Saccharomyces cerevisiae S288C: one gene and its partners. The gene in region 1 interacts genetically with each later gene. Each region holds a gene or a part of one and is shown on either strand. Other genes may lie near its edges.

The links. Genes that interact genetically often act in the same process or in processes that back each other up.
Region 2: mutations in MSN5 (region 1) and SWI4 are lethal when combined (synthetic lethality), as found in Saccharomyces cerevisiae (6 studies listed by BioGRID, with this or other methods).
Region 3: mutations in MSN5 (region 1) and RPA34 together harm fitness more than expected from each alone (negative genetic interaction), as found in Saccharomyces cerevisiae (3 studies listed by BioGRID).

What each region holds. Positions count from the first base shown.
Region 1 is NC_001136.10:1,139,392-1,145,342, forward strand, and holds MSN5 (karyopherin MSN5), read left to right. Parts: upstream 1-1,776; coding exon 1,777-5,451; downstream 5,452-5,951. Other genes in the region: chromatin-remodeling protein SWR1, read left to right, coding at 1-1,085; translation initiation/elongation factor MRX8, read left to right, coding at 5,701-5,951.
Region 2 is NC_001137.3:382,069-387,809, reverse strand, and holds SWI4 (SBF complex DNA-binding subunit SWI4), read left to right. Parts: upstream 1-1,933; coding exon 1,934-5,215; downstream 5,216-5,741. Other genes in the region: U6 snRNA complex subunit LSM4, read right to left, coding at 15-578; karyopherin KAP123, read left to right, coding at 5,707-5,741. UniProt on the Saccharomyces cerevisiae protein: Part of a complex involved in cell-cycle-dependent transcription. SWI4 and SWI6 are required for formation of the cell-cycle box factor-DNA complex. The repeated element in the upstream region of HO (5'-CACGAAAA-3') is called the cell cycle box (CCB).
Region 3 is NC_001142.9:138,386-141,664, forward strand, and holds RPA34 (DNA-directed RNA polymerase I subunit RPA34), read left to right. Parts: upstream 1-2,051; coding exon 2,052-2,753; downstream 2,754-3,279. Other genes in the region: SCF ubiquitin ligase complex subunit DAS1, read left to right, coding at 1-985; SMT1 (Smt1p), read right to left, coding at 3,034-3,279. UniProt on the Saccharomyces cerevisiae protein: DNA-dependent RNA polymerases catalyze the transcription of DNA into RNA using the four ribonucleoside triphosphates as substrates. Component of RNA polymerase I (Pol I) which synthesizes ribosomal RNA precursors.

The DNA.
Region 1 (5,951 bases):
AATCAAGCATTATTGATAATGAACTAATAAAACCCTTGCAAACCAGGGTATTGGATAATAGAAAGATCATAGATACCTTTGCAGTGTTAACCCCAAGTGCCGTCTCACTAGATATGAGAAAGTTGGCATTGGGATTAAATGATGACAGTTCGGTAGGCGAAAACACAAGGCTAAAGGTAATGCAGAACTGTTTTGAAGTATCCAACCCATTACACCAACTGCAAACCAAATTAACAATCGCATTCCCGGACAAATCGCTGCTTCAATACGATTGTGGTAAATTGCAGAAGTTAGCAATTTTATTACAGCAGCTGAAGGACAATGGACATAGGGCACTTATCTTCACACAAATGACAAAAGTTTTGGACGTTCTGGAACAGTTTTTAAACTATCATGGTTATTTGTATATGAGACTAGATGGTGCCACAAAGATCGAAGACCGTCAAATCCTAACAGAGAGATTCAACACTGACTCAAGAATAACGGTATTTATCCTATCAAGTAGATCAGGAGGGCTAGGTATCAATCTGACTGGGGCAGATACAGTTATTTTTTACGATTCAGATTGGAATCCAGCCATGGACAAACAGTGTCAAGATAGATGTCACAGAATTGGACAGACTCGAGATGTGCATATTTACAGATTTGTCAGCGAACATACCATAGAAAGCAATATCTTAAAAAAAGCCAACCAAAAAAGACAATTGGATAATGTTGTTATTCAAGAGGGTGACTTCACAACAGATTATTTCAGCAAACTTTCGGTGAGAGATTTATTGGGATCCGAATTGCCCGAAAATGCTTCAGGTGGAGATAAACCACTAATAGCAGATGCAGATGTGGCAGCCAAAGATCCCAGACAACTGGAAAGACTTCTTGCGCAAGCGGAAGATGAGGATGATGTTAAAGCTGCAAACTTAGCCATGAGAGAAGTCGAAATTGACAATGACGATTTCGACGAAAGCACAGAAAAAAAAGCAGCTAATGAAGAGGAAGAAAATCATGCTGAACTTGATGAGTATGAGGGCACTGCCCATGTTGACGAGTACATGATCAGGTTTATTGCCAACGGTTATTATTATTGAAGGACCAGGTTCTACTCTTCACCGCTGCCTTAGTTGTCCAAATCGGACTATATACCTATTGTGAATATTTTAATGATATATAGCCATAATGAATCAACAAATTGTATTATTATTTCCGACAACACTATCGCCTCTTGGTTTTTATGGTAATGTACTCACCATGGCATTGTTCCTTGGTCACCAATTTCTATTTACCGGGTGATGGCGGCGCGCCACAGCGGAGGGGCATTGCCACATTGCTGCGCGATCAAGGTTGGTTTTTCCAAAGAGACTTCAAGAGTACTAAGCTTTTGATGTAGTAATATTTGTCAAAGAGTTTTAAGAGCAAGATTCCATTGAACAGAGGTGCTGGAGTGACGAGCGTGTGTGTTTTTAGCCTATCTTTATTCGTTGAGCCTGTAGAAGAGCCGTTCTTTTAAGTACACCCTGATTAGATCCCCCTATTTGTTGCAACCGTTCAAGTTTTGTAGATCGGAAGAAGAGCAAAACAGAAAAATAAACAAGGCGAGAACGTAAGGTGTCATTGCATTAGCCATTAAAAACCATATTCACTCTTTACATTCGTGTAGCAATTGTTACTGTGATAAACTATTGAAATTATTTATAGTATATTTTGTTTTCTTCCTTTTAATCACTTTTTGAATTTTTAGAATCTGAAATTTTTTTTCTAACGTTGATTGGAAGAAAAGTAATGGATTCCACAGGCGCTTCTCAGATTGTTAGCGCACTAGATGTTATTTACTCCCCCAAGTCTAACAATTCTCAACGGCAAGAAGCTCAGAAATTTTTAGATGAAGTGAAATTATGCTCAGAATCGCCCTTTTGGGGCTACGAAATTGCATTGCAAAACCCCACTAATTCTATATTGAAATACTTTGGACTAGGATTACTAGACCATGCAGTGAAGAAAAACTGGAATGATTATGACGAGGGGAAAAGAGTGGCCCTGAGAAAATGGGTCATGGAACTTAATTTTGGGGTGCAAGATTATGATACCAGATATATTAAGGAAAAATTAGCCACTTTATGGGTAGAGGTGGCAAAAAGAACATGGGGTGAGGCTCTTAAGCAGACAAACCCTACGGAAGAACAGTTACTCACATCTTGGGTGGACATGGACAATAACCTTTTCGAACTTTGGAACATAAATCAATCGTCAAGAGAACTAGCATTAATAATTTTCAGAATCCTTTTTGAAGATGTTTTCTTGTTGGACGACCTAATTGTTTTGAAAAGGATGACGGTTATTCAACCCTTATGTGTAATGATTGTTTGCCCTATTGAAGTTTTCGCAATAAAATACAAATTCAGTGATAAATGGACCAAATTTAAAGCTAATGAAGAGGGCTGGTTTTCTGTTTGGATTCCAGAGTTGAATAATGCATTACAACAGAATAATTCTGAATACATCATAAGGCTTTTAGAAACTCTGAAGACGTGTTTAAACTGGCCATTAACAGAGGTCATTGTAAGAAATGACGTGTTATCCTCCTTATTGACTTGTTTATCCAGCAATATCCCAAGGGCGCAGTCAATGGCATTAGACTCGATACATATTCTGTTGACCCGTCCCTATAGTAATGAAAGCCATTACCAAATGACCATAGATCGAGTTTTTGATAATATGGACTTATTAGATAGCGTTTATGAAAGCTTGTTGTTTGATCCTACAGATGATATAGATGAAACGAAATATCCTATAATTAAAAAGTTCGTGGATATGATCAGTTGTCTCTATGTTTGTGTCCCAAAGATTAAGGAGACAAATGGCCAAATTCAAAAATATTTTAAGCTTGTATTAAAGACAACTTATAACCCAAGCTTAATCGTTAGCGGATTAACATTAGACCTATGGTGTACCTGTCTTCGAAACGATGAATACTTACCCAAGCTGGAGAAATATGTCATTCCTGATCTACTACAGTTTGCCGCGGATGCTTTAGTCTATTATGAACAGATTGATGGTCATATTTCCAAAAAATTTGCGGAGATTGATTTTCAATCCAAGTCCGAATTTCAAACATTTTGTTCCACTTATAGGAAAAGAATAAGAGACATCATTAGGTTGATTTCTTGCGTCGAATTAGACCTTACTTATGATTGGTTGAACAACAGATTAAACAATTATTTCAGCTCTCCATTTGGTCAGCAGGTCTTAAGTTCCACATTTTTGGACCATAAATTAGAGCCTTATTTAGGTGCCCTCTCCCAATACATGATTGTTGAATGTTTCATCAATGGTTGTATAAGATGGAAGATCTGGTATCCAACAGGAGATGATTATGACGAAAAACTAGATTCCATATTACAAAAACTGGAAATTTTGTCAAACCAGTTAATTGCATTAAATTTAAGAGAACCATTGTTATTGAAGAAACAAATCCAAAATTTTGCACTTTTTTTGACAATGTTAAAAGATAATGTGCTTTTCACACTTTTAGAAAAAATCATAACAAGCGCCACGATGGACTATCCAGAAATTAATTTGGAAGAGAGAGGCGCTGAATCAGACGCAGTTAGAGATTTGAGATATGCTTGTGGTATCGAGTTGAATAGGATGGCTTTATTAATGCCCGAATCTCTGAAAAAAATATACCCAGACCTTGAAAGTGTCATTGCCAGAATCATGCCCAACTTATCTTACCATGAAAAAATTTCCTTCAAATCCTTCTTATTGATCATTGTATTGAAGTCTTCATTAGATATGAAAGAGGAAAGATTTGCGGCTATTGTGGATCCAGAACTTTTAGCCTGGTCTGATAAAACAACAGTTGTTGGTCTTTCTGATTTGCATTGGTTTATGGAACGCTTAGGTATTGTTCAGATCGCAGAATATTTCCAGAGGCGTGATATCGACGAAAATAGTGACCTTTTATCAATTCCAATTGATGATGAGGGTAAAGAGCTGAAGTCGGAATTGACCAAACGTTGGCAAAGCTTGTTTCCTGTTCGTGCAACAAGAATGTTCATTCATTATTCAATGCAAAGTATAAAGACAGATGAAGAATTCAAAATGCTACAAGATCTGTGGAGACCTAGGATTGTCCCAATATTACCTTACATCACGAGACTACTGTACCAATTGCAATCCTACCACGATCCAGATAATTGGAAAGGATTACCTACGGTTGTGCAATCCTTCGTCAAGTATTCCACTATTGAAAGATTTTGGGAGGCCGGAGCTTCAAATAAATCAAAGGATGAGTTTATTGATGAACATATGAAAGCGATGCAAACCTTACGAGACTTCGCCGACTCCGTAGGACACATCATTAGGTATACAAGGGAATACACTCTACTTGTTTTAAGTGCCATATCATCACTTGGTAGTGTTTTTTACCTTTTGGACGAATCGCCCGACCTACTACTGAACTCTATTGCCATATTTAAGCCAGGTAGCAATGAGATAAGCCCTGGAGTTTCAACACATGGATGGAAACACATAATGAATATAGCCATTCGTCCTATATTAAAAGGTTGTCCAAAAGATTGTCTGGGGAAATTCATGCCCGCATTTTTGCCTAAATTATTTGAAATCCTGGACCTGCTGCTATGTCAGAAATGGTCCTCGCATATGAATGATATGGACATGAACCCAGTTCCAACTGACGATGATCAAATGACTGAAGAAATTTTGGAAGAGAATTTGTTGAGACAACTAACCACAGTTGTTGTTAGAATAGTAATTGATTGTGTTGGTCAAGGCAATGCCAATCCAAACAGTGCTAAAAGCAGGCTAAATAACCATCAAATGGAGATGAGAAAAATTATATTTAATGATTTAAACACCCTTGCTCCATTTTTGAAACTTTTGAACCATTTAATTTCCTTCAAGGATACAAAATGTTCATTTAACTCCATCCTAGTAATGAAATGCTGCTTAACCTCAGTCCTTAATCAAAACAACACGGTGGATGAATATTTCACATTTGAAGTGATGAAAAATCTGTTGCTAAATGTGCTGTGTAATAGTGCGTTTAAGGATTCTTTCCATGAGGCACTATATGCTTTCACTGTGATTTTTTTGACTCTGTGCAAAGAATATCCCTCTGCTAGAGCGTTCCTTTTTGAGATATCTAATGGTTATAATATTGATGAGTTATACAGAAATTTAAGGAGCGTGGACGAATACAAAACACAAAGGGCACTCATGATTGATTTTATAGATTGGGTTAAATCCACCAGTGGGAAAGAAGATGGTAATGTGGACCATGCAGGCGATGAGAGAAAAAGACAAGAGAAAAGGGAAGCTATCCTCAAGAAGGCAAATGAGAGATTAATTAAGAAGAATAAAGAAAACGGAGACATGCTGGATGATCCGAACATTGAAGACGGTGCTGTGGGTAATCTCTTTGATGACAACTGATAATAAGGTGCCATATATACGTAGATGTGTAGATGAAATTAGAGAAAGCAAATAGACATCTGAATCGTGCTAAAAATTGTAATTATTGTGAAAAAAAAAATTCTGTATTCGCAATTTTTTTAATGAAAGTCGGCAGCCGGTAAATATGCATATAATCAAGCGTTTTAATGTGGGTCTGAACAAGGTATTTCTGAAGATTTTTTCTTCACATATTCCCTAATATTTTAGCGAAATAGGAAACCATTGGCAATGGAACAACTGTGTAAGAGGTACGTGCATACACCGGCGGCTTTTATACAAAACATTGTTGCTAACACTAAAAGAACAACGCTAGCCACGCAATTATCTGTTGAAAAAGCTAAAAAAAAAGTTCCCAAGACAGCTCTTAAAAAGAAACTTAATAGTAGGCCAAAAGAAAGGCTTCCGAATTGGCTAAAACTAAACGATGTTTTTAACATACATTACGAAAAGCCATCTAACTCTGATATAAATAAGGTTAA
Region 2 (5,741 bases), on another chromosome or scaffold:
AATACAAAATTTGTTTAAAATTCGACCTTTTGTGGAGAAGAGCTGTTAAAATGATGTTGGACGGACCCACCTAAACCATTGTTCATATTTTGGTTGTTGCTATTGATACTGTTGATACTGTTGTTAATGTTACTGCTGTTGCTGTTGTTGTATTGACGGTTTTGAGAGTATGGACGGCGGTTGCTGTTGCCGTTATTATTATTTCTTCTGTTGTAGTTACCTCTATTGTTGTTTGAATCCCTATTGTTGTAGTATCTTTTATGCCCAGGGCCGTTACTATTAGAGTTATTGTTGGAGTTAATTTGCTGCTTGACCTTGTCAATTATATTATCTTGCAATTTGATAAACTTGATAAAAGTCCCTCTAATATAAATTTCGTTCAATTTTACGGCTTTACTGCTCTCAGCATTGTCTTCTGAATTAATTGCGCTTTCTTCACTATATTCGGTTACATTAGATAAAGTAAGGTTCATCCAGTTATCTACGTTGGTCAATATCCCTTGTATAATTTCACCGTTTTTCAATTCTATTTGCATTTGTTGTCCCTTCGCATTTGTTAAAAGATATAAAGGTAGCATTGAGAAAAAATATTCTATTGTGTTTCTTTTCAGTTCGAGTTGAAGATTTATCAGTTTTTCAACTCTGTTTTACTAATACTACTTCGTTAATTTACTTTTACGATTTCCTTCTTTACCGCTTCCATCATTAGGAAGGTCTATGATACTACGATTTCACGAAAGAAAGCTGCAATAATTGAACATCATTGCTACTCCGTAAAACATGATAGTAAGAGTGCTTATCACGTGACACGTGTGCGGCAAATTTCGTAATTGATGATCAAAATGCGTGTGGGCGGCTACAATGCGGAATTTGCCTTTTTCATAGTACAGGAAACTGGCGGTAAAGGAAAAGTAGTACTTTAAACTCATTTAAAATTACTTATCACTATGAATATCTTTAAATTATTGTTATACATAATAAACTATCTATTAAAAAAAAGATGCTACCCAATTCACGTTGTCCATGGTTATTTTAGAGCCTAAAAATAAAAGGCAGTAGGTTTAGAGGGACTTCAGTACAAGTAGATAACGAACGAAGCAATTACTCTGTGTACGGTGGCGGAAAAAATGAAATGTTACTTAAGAAGGAGGTAATATAAGTACATTACATTTCAACCGCATTGTGACTGCGTACTTTAAACGATAGGTGACTGCGGATCTTAGGTCGTTTAGCAGCATACGAAAATTAGTTTTACTAAACTAGACATCTAGTAAAAGGCTGTCGAAATCTCTCAATTTAAAGAGAACCTGCTACTGACTATAAATTTTGTCACTACAAATTATTGGTTTAATCTAGCCTTCATTATGGATACAATTACCTTCGGCGGCTAAAAACAACTTGATTTTGTTACCCGCGTTTGAAGTGACGCGTCACTAACCATGACGCGAAAGTTAATTATATTCAGCTCCCCGCCTGCTTATTTCCCGTTTAGGAAATAAATGGTTAACCTAACAAAAAAAAAAGAGGAACAAGGACTAAGAAGCACGTCAACGTGAAAAACGCACAAAAGATATTATAGTTATTGCCATCCTTTAGCATTGGTTTAGCATATCAACTAATTGACTAATATTTGCTGCTAAATTCAACTGGAAGCTTTTTTTTTTTTCGAGATAATAAAAAAAGAAACTCTTTAGTGTATTGTGTTATTTTTACTATTAATTGTTGTTACAGCAGAATCACATCTAGCATTGGTCGTCGCTTTTTCAAACGATTCTTCCTCCACTTACCCTTTGAAAAAAAGGTACATTATTTCACGTTATTTGATATATTGTCAACAATAATTGCTCTTTGCCGAAAATTAACTCTTCTTTCTTTCTCATTTCCCTTCTGTCCCTCTTGCGTAGTTCTAAAAGGTTGATTTATTCGAGAAATCATGCCATTTGATGTTTTGATATCAAACCAAAAAGATAATACCAATCACCAGAACATCACGCCAATATCAAAATCAGTTCTTTTGGCGCCTCATTCAAACCATCCAGTGATTGAAATAGCTACGTATTCAGAAACCGATGTATACGAATGCTATATACGTGGGTTTGAAACTAAAATAGTGATGAGAAGAACTAAAGATGATTGGATTAATATTACCCAGGTTTTCAAAATAGCTCAATTTTCGAAGACGAAAAGAACTAAAATACTGGAAAAGGAATCAAATGATATGCAACATGAAAAAGTTCAAGGTGGGTATGGTAGGTTTCAAGGTACTTGGATCCCACTGGATTCAGCGAAGTTTTTAGTCAATAAGTACGAAATAATTGACCCTGTGGTCAACTCCATCTTAACTTTTCAATTCGATCCAAATAACCCTCCACCAAAGAGAAGCAAAAATAGTATATTGAGGAAGACTTCGCCGGGAACGAAGATAACTTCTCCATCGAGCTACAATAAAACACCAAGAAAAAAGAACAGTAGTTCATCAACATCGGCTACAACTACAGCTGCGAATAAGAAAGGCAAGAAAAATGCATCGATCAACCAGCCGAATCCAAGTCCTTTACAAAACCTTGTTTTCCAAACTCCTCAACAGTTCCAAGTAAATTCATCAATGAATATAATGAACAATAATGATAACCACACCACGATGAATTTCAACAATGACACAAGACACAATTTAATAAATAATATTAGTAACAACAGCAATCAATCTACTATTATTCAACAACAAAAATCCATTCATGAAAACTCTTTCAATAATAATTATTCGGCAACTCAGAAACCTCTTCAATTTTTTCCAATTCCGACAAATTTACAAAACAAGAACGTTGCTCTGAATAACCCTAATAATAATGACAGTAATAGTTACAGCCATAACATCGACAATGTCATTAACAGCAGTAATAACAATAATAATGGCAATAATAATAACTTGATCATAGTTCCAGACGGACCTATGCAAAGCCAACAACAACAACAACATCATCATGAATATTTGACGAATAACTTCAATCATTCCATGATGGACTCCATTACAAATGGCAATAGTAAAAAAAGGAGGAAAAAGCTGAATCAATCTAATGAACAACAATTTTACAACCAGCAAGAAAAAATACAAAGGCATTTCAAATTAATGAAGCAACCCTTATTATGGCAATCCTTTCAAAATCCAAATGATCACCATAATGAGTACTGTGACAGTAACGGCAGCAACAATAACAACAACACTGTAGCATCCAATGGCTCCTCCATTGAAGTATTTTCATCAAATGAAAATGATAACAGTATGAATATGTCTTCACGATCTATGACACCGTTCAGCGCAGGAAATACTTCATCTCAAAACAAGTTGGAAAACAAAATGACAGATCAAGAATACAAGCAGACGATATTAACAATACTATCATCGGAAAGGTCTTCTGATGTAGATCAAGCGTTGTTGGCTACTTTATATCCGGCGCCCAAAAATTTTAACATAAATTTTGAAATTGATGATCAAGGTCACACTCCACTCCATTGGGCTACAGCTATGGCGAATATTCCTTTGATAAAAATGCTAATTACCTTAAATGCTAATGCATTACAGTGTAATAAGCTCGGTTTTAATTGCATCACAAAATCAATTTTCTACAACAATTGCTACAAGGAGAATGCTTTCGATGAAATAATATCCATCTTAAAAATATGTCTTATAACTCCCGACGTAAATGGAAGATTGCCATTTCATTATTTAATTGAATTGAGCGTTAATAAGTCCAAAAATCCAATGATAATAAAATCTTATATGGATTCGATAATATTGAGCTTGGGTCAGCAGGACTACAATTTGTTGAAGATATGTTTGAACTACCAAGATAATATAGGGAACACTCCACTGCATTTATCTGCTTTAAACTTGAACTTCGAGGTTTACAACAGACTGGTATATCTTGGTGCGTCAACAGATATATTGAATCTAGATAACGAATCGCCTGCGTCAATAATGAATAAGTTTAATACTCCGGCTGGCGGGTCAAACAGCAGAAACAACAACACCAAGGCAGATCGAAAGTTAGCTCGAAACCTTCCTCAAAAGAATTATTACCAACAACAGCAACAGCAACAGCAACCACAAAACAATGTCAAAATTCCAAAAATTATAAAAACTCAACATCCTGATAAAGAAGATTCTACTGCAGATGTCAATATAGCTAAAACAGATTCTGAAGTCAACGAAAGTCAATACCTGCATTCCAACCAGCCAAATTCTACAAATATGAACACTATTATGGAAGACTTGTCGAATATTAATTCTTTCGTGACGTCGTCTGTCATTAAAGATATAAAGTCTACGCCGTCCAAAATTCTTGAAAACTCTCCCATTTTATACAGAAGAAGATCACAGTCAATATCAGATGAAAAAGAAAAGGCAAAGGATAATGAGAATCAAGTTGAAAAGAAAAAGGATCCCTTGAATAGTGTGAAAACTGCCATGCCATCATTGGAATCGCCTTCTTCCCTTCTGCCGATACAGATGTCTCCACTAGGAAAGTACTCAAAACCGCTTTCGCAGCAGATCAACAAATTAAATACAAAAGTTTCTTCTCTACAAAGAATAATGGGTGAAGAAATTAAAAATCTGGACAACGAAGTAGTAGAAACCGAATCCTCTATTTCTAACAATAAGAAGAGATTGATTACAATAGCACATCAAATAGAGGATGCTTTCGATTCCGTATCAAACAAAACTCCCATAAATTCGATATCAGATTTACAATCAAGGATTAAAGAAACATCGTCAAAGTTGAATTCTGAAAAGCAAAATTTTATTCAAAGCTTGGAAAAATCTCAAGCTTTAAAACTGGCTACAATTGTCCAGGATGAGGAATCAAAGGTTGATATGAATACTAACTCAAGTTCACATCCAGAAAAACAGGAAGATGAAGAGCCAATTCCAAAGTCAACGTCGGAAACTTCTTCTCCTAAAAACACCAAAGCGGACGCCAAATTTTCTAATACTGTACAAGAATCATATGATGTAAATGAGACGTTGAGACTAGCAACGGAACTAACTATTCTACAGTTTAAAAGAAGGATGACAACATTGAAAATAAGCGAAGCTAAAAGCAAAATTAATTCATCGGTGAAGTTAGATAAATACAGAAACTTGATTGGTATCACAATTGAGAACATTGACTCAAAATTGGACGATATAGAAAAGGATTTGAGGGCAAACGCATAAATTTTAATTCACAATGTACCAATAATTTTTACTATATTATCAGAGTTTTTAAATTTTTTTTTTTTTTTTTTGGTAGCAATTTTTTACATATTTGTATAGTCACTTTTCTCATTGCGCTTGAGTTGCTTCAAGTGCATGTCAACAAACATTTGAACTACTAAACTTAGACTATTATGGTTAGCCCTTTGCTAATTATCAGGATGTCTTTTATTACGATTGTGCTTTGTTTTCGTACAATATGATGAATGGAAAGCGCGATGAGATGAGGTCGAAAAAAAAAAAAAAAAAAAAAAAAATAGAAACATCCACTTATCCATAGATCCTTCATTTTATTTGTTGTCAGGTTTGGTATTGATTTTATTAGTCAACAAAAAAGAATAGGCAAGACCCCGCAAGGATCCTTCTTCTCGTTTCTGTATATTACCAAAATCCTGCCTTAGCAGCATAAAAACTGAGGGACGAAAAACACTTTTTTAGTATCAAGTAGTATAATGGATCAACAATTTCTAAGTCAACTTGAGCAAAC
Region 3 (3,279 bases), on another chromosome or scaffold:
GATTTCTATTAAGCAGGATGTTCATATCCTCGTAGATCTTTTTAGTTCGTTAACCAATTTGAAAAGACTAAAAATGGATTTCTTAGAGGAGTATGTACCTGAACCCACAAATCCTCACATATTTCTCTCCATTCTTTTAGCTTGCTCCAAATTGCAATTCATAGATCTGAGATACGACGGTCTTATCCCACAAATCATCAATATTCAAGAAAATAAGTTCCAACTAAATCAGCAATGCAACTGCACAAACTGTCAAATAGTATTCAGTGACATTCTGAAGGGCAAAATATTCATGTTCCCTGAAGACTACTATATTCACGATCTTCAAGACATTGCTGCAAAGGATATTTTTAAAATGATGAAATACCTATCTTTGTTACCATACTCTAAAGCTTGTGATGCTTATCCGAGCGTTAGAACACAACCAATGAATTTGACTAATTTTGTGACCAAGATGAACCGCAACCTTTTGGAATATAGAAATTCTAAATCCCAGTTGGTGCCCAAAATCGTTAATAACCCACATCAACACTCCACCGTGACTTCCACATCAACCGCTCATATGAGCGAGCCCGAAATGATAATAATCGATGACGATGATGATGATGATGAAATTAATGCGGCCATTCCTCCAAGTAGTGATGACACAGCAGCTACAATTTCCACTGACCTGGAACTTCCTCATGAATCATTGACCAAAAGAGATATTATTATGTGTTATCACGCTCTTATCCATCACTTCAAGTCGATTTACGTTACTTTTTTGAAAAGTTTTCCTCATTTGAGATTCTTGATGTTGAATGACATTCCCACAATAGTTATGGAGGAGAATAATGAACGTATTTTTGAACCCGTCTTTTATCATTATGATTATAAGAGTAATCTGTATGGATGGTCAAAGGAATCGAACAAGAATCTGGAGAACGACAGCAACAACAACAATAATAATTCTGATACCATTGCAAGAATAGCCACTGTTATGTAATCAACTCCCCTTCAAATATATATATTTAATAATATATATTCAACGCATTTTTTAAGCTAGCAGGATTCAGATTACTGGTCTACTTCATATTAAGGAAATACAAGATCCATTCGGATGCTAGAAAAAAATCAACCAACTATTCCAATGTTGGTAAGCTGGTTTGATAAAGTAAACACAAGATACTACAGTATACGATCACTCAGACATCCTAGGAAGGTCTCTAAAGAAGAGCGGTCACCGAGAGTACTAACGATGGGTTCGTAAGCGTACTCCTACCGTGGAAACTGCGAATGTTAAGGAACCAGTCTTTCATCACCGTGATCATAAATTATATATATTATCTGTCTCCTCAAATTACCCACATTTGATAATCTCATGAGAAAAAATAAAGGCTCAGATCTGCATGTGTTGTATAACACTGGCAAGAAAAGTTCCCGTTTGCAAACACAAATGATTAAAAAAAAATGTCACAGAAGCAACATCTTTTCAAAATCATTCGCATTAAGAGAACGAGATAAAATCCCTTGTCGTCATGGTCGAATCGGACGAGGAAAGAAGAGACACCATTATCATCAGGGCCAATCAATTCTTCTTTTCTGTTTAAAAAAGTGTCATGAAATTTCTCTTGAGATTATTCAAACTTGAATGTATCAAATGGGAAGGAGTGCAATGCTGAAGTCGAAAGAGGAGGATTACTCTCATTCTTACTACATTACAGTCACTGCTGTTTGTTCTTATGTAGGGGAATTCTTATTAACCGAATGTCGAGATTATTATAACCTTACAGAAGGTTGTCCAGTATTTATACATTTTGTTTCTGCCCATAAAGCTCTAGAAAATGAAAAAAAATTTTCTTTTCAGCCTGAGAAAGTTTTTTCTTAGGGCAGCGTGTGGTTATTGGGTGTTGCGAAACTTTTTTTCTCAAACATGAAATTAAAGAAATGAAAAATTTTATCGATGAGCATTGAATAGCTCAAGTTATAGGGTATTCGGTATCATATAGGTCTGTGATCGAGTGAGCAGTGAGCAGCTAGGATTCAATAAACGGGATTAACAAAAAATTGATATGTCCAAGCTTTCGAAAGATTACGTATCAGATTCAGACTCTGATGATGAAGTGATATCAAACGAGTTCAGCATACCAGATGGTTTCAAGAAATGTAAACATTTAAAGAATTTCCCTCTCAACGGTGATAACAAAAAAAAAGCGAAACAGCAACAGGTTTGGCTGATCAAATTCCCATCAAATGTGGACATCTCCAAGTTAAAATCTCTGCCTGTAGATTTTGAATCCTCTACAACCATGACAATTGATAAACACGATTATAAAATCATGGACGATACAGATATTGAGTCCTCGTTAACACAGGATAACCTCAGTAATATGACTTTATTGGTTCCTTCGGAAAGTAAGGAAAGTCTTAAAATTGCTAGCACTGCCAAGGATAATGCACCATTACAGTTTGACAAGGTATTTTCTGTCAGCGAAACCGCTAAAATCCCAGCTATTGATTACAGTAAGGTAAGAGTTCCACGTAAAGATGTTCCAAAAGTAGAAGGCTTGAAGTTGGAGCATTTTGCTACTGGTTATGATGCCGAAGATTTCCATGTGGCTGAGGAAGTTAAAGAAAATAAGAAAGAACCAAAGAAGCGTTCACATCACGACGATGAAGAGGAGTCTAGTGAAAAGAAGAAAAAGAAGAAGGAGAAGAGGGAGAAGAGGGAGAAGAAGGATAAAAAGGATAAGAAAAAGAAACATAGAGATTGAATGCGTATGTGCGTATAACTGTGTGTAACATAAGATAAAAATGTGCATTTGTGTGTGTGTCAGTGATTTTTTTTCGCATTTACATATATAAAAAGGCATTTCTGCTGGTGGAAACTGATGAATGTTTTGTGTGGGCAATATTACTATTTAGTTTTGCATACTTAAATTTGTGTATACGATTAGAAATTTCAATATTTCGGGTGTAACACAAACGATTATTTTTTTCTTGATTTAGAGTCGCCATATGAATATTATTAACCTGCTTTTTCTGTGTTCTCTCTTATATGAGGTTCAATGGTAAGTGTGTTTTTAACTCGTGTTCTTCTTCATTAATCATCTTTAATACACTTCCAAGGTTGACCTGTAAATCTTCAAAGATTAGTTTATCCTGGCACGTCCGATGGATACTCCGTATAGAAATATCTAAGGATCTAATAAATTTGTATTGGTCCATTATTGGTGTGGACGGTTTCTTCGGTGACTCCAGCATTATTTTGCTTTGTATACTCAATTTTACGATATCAAT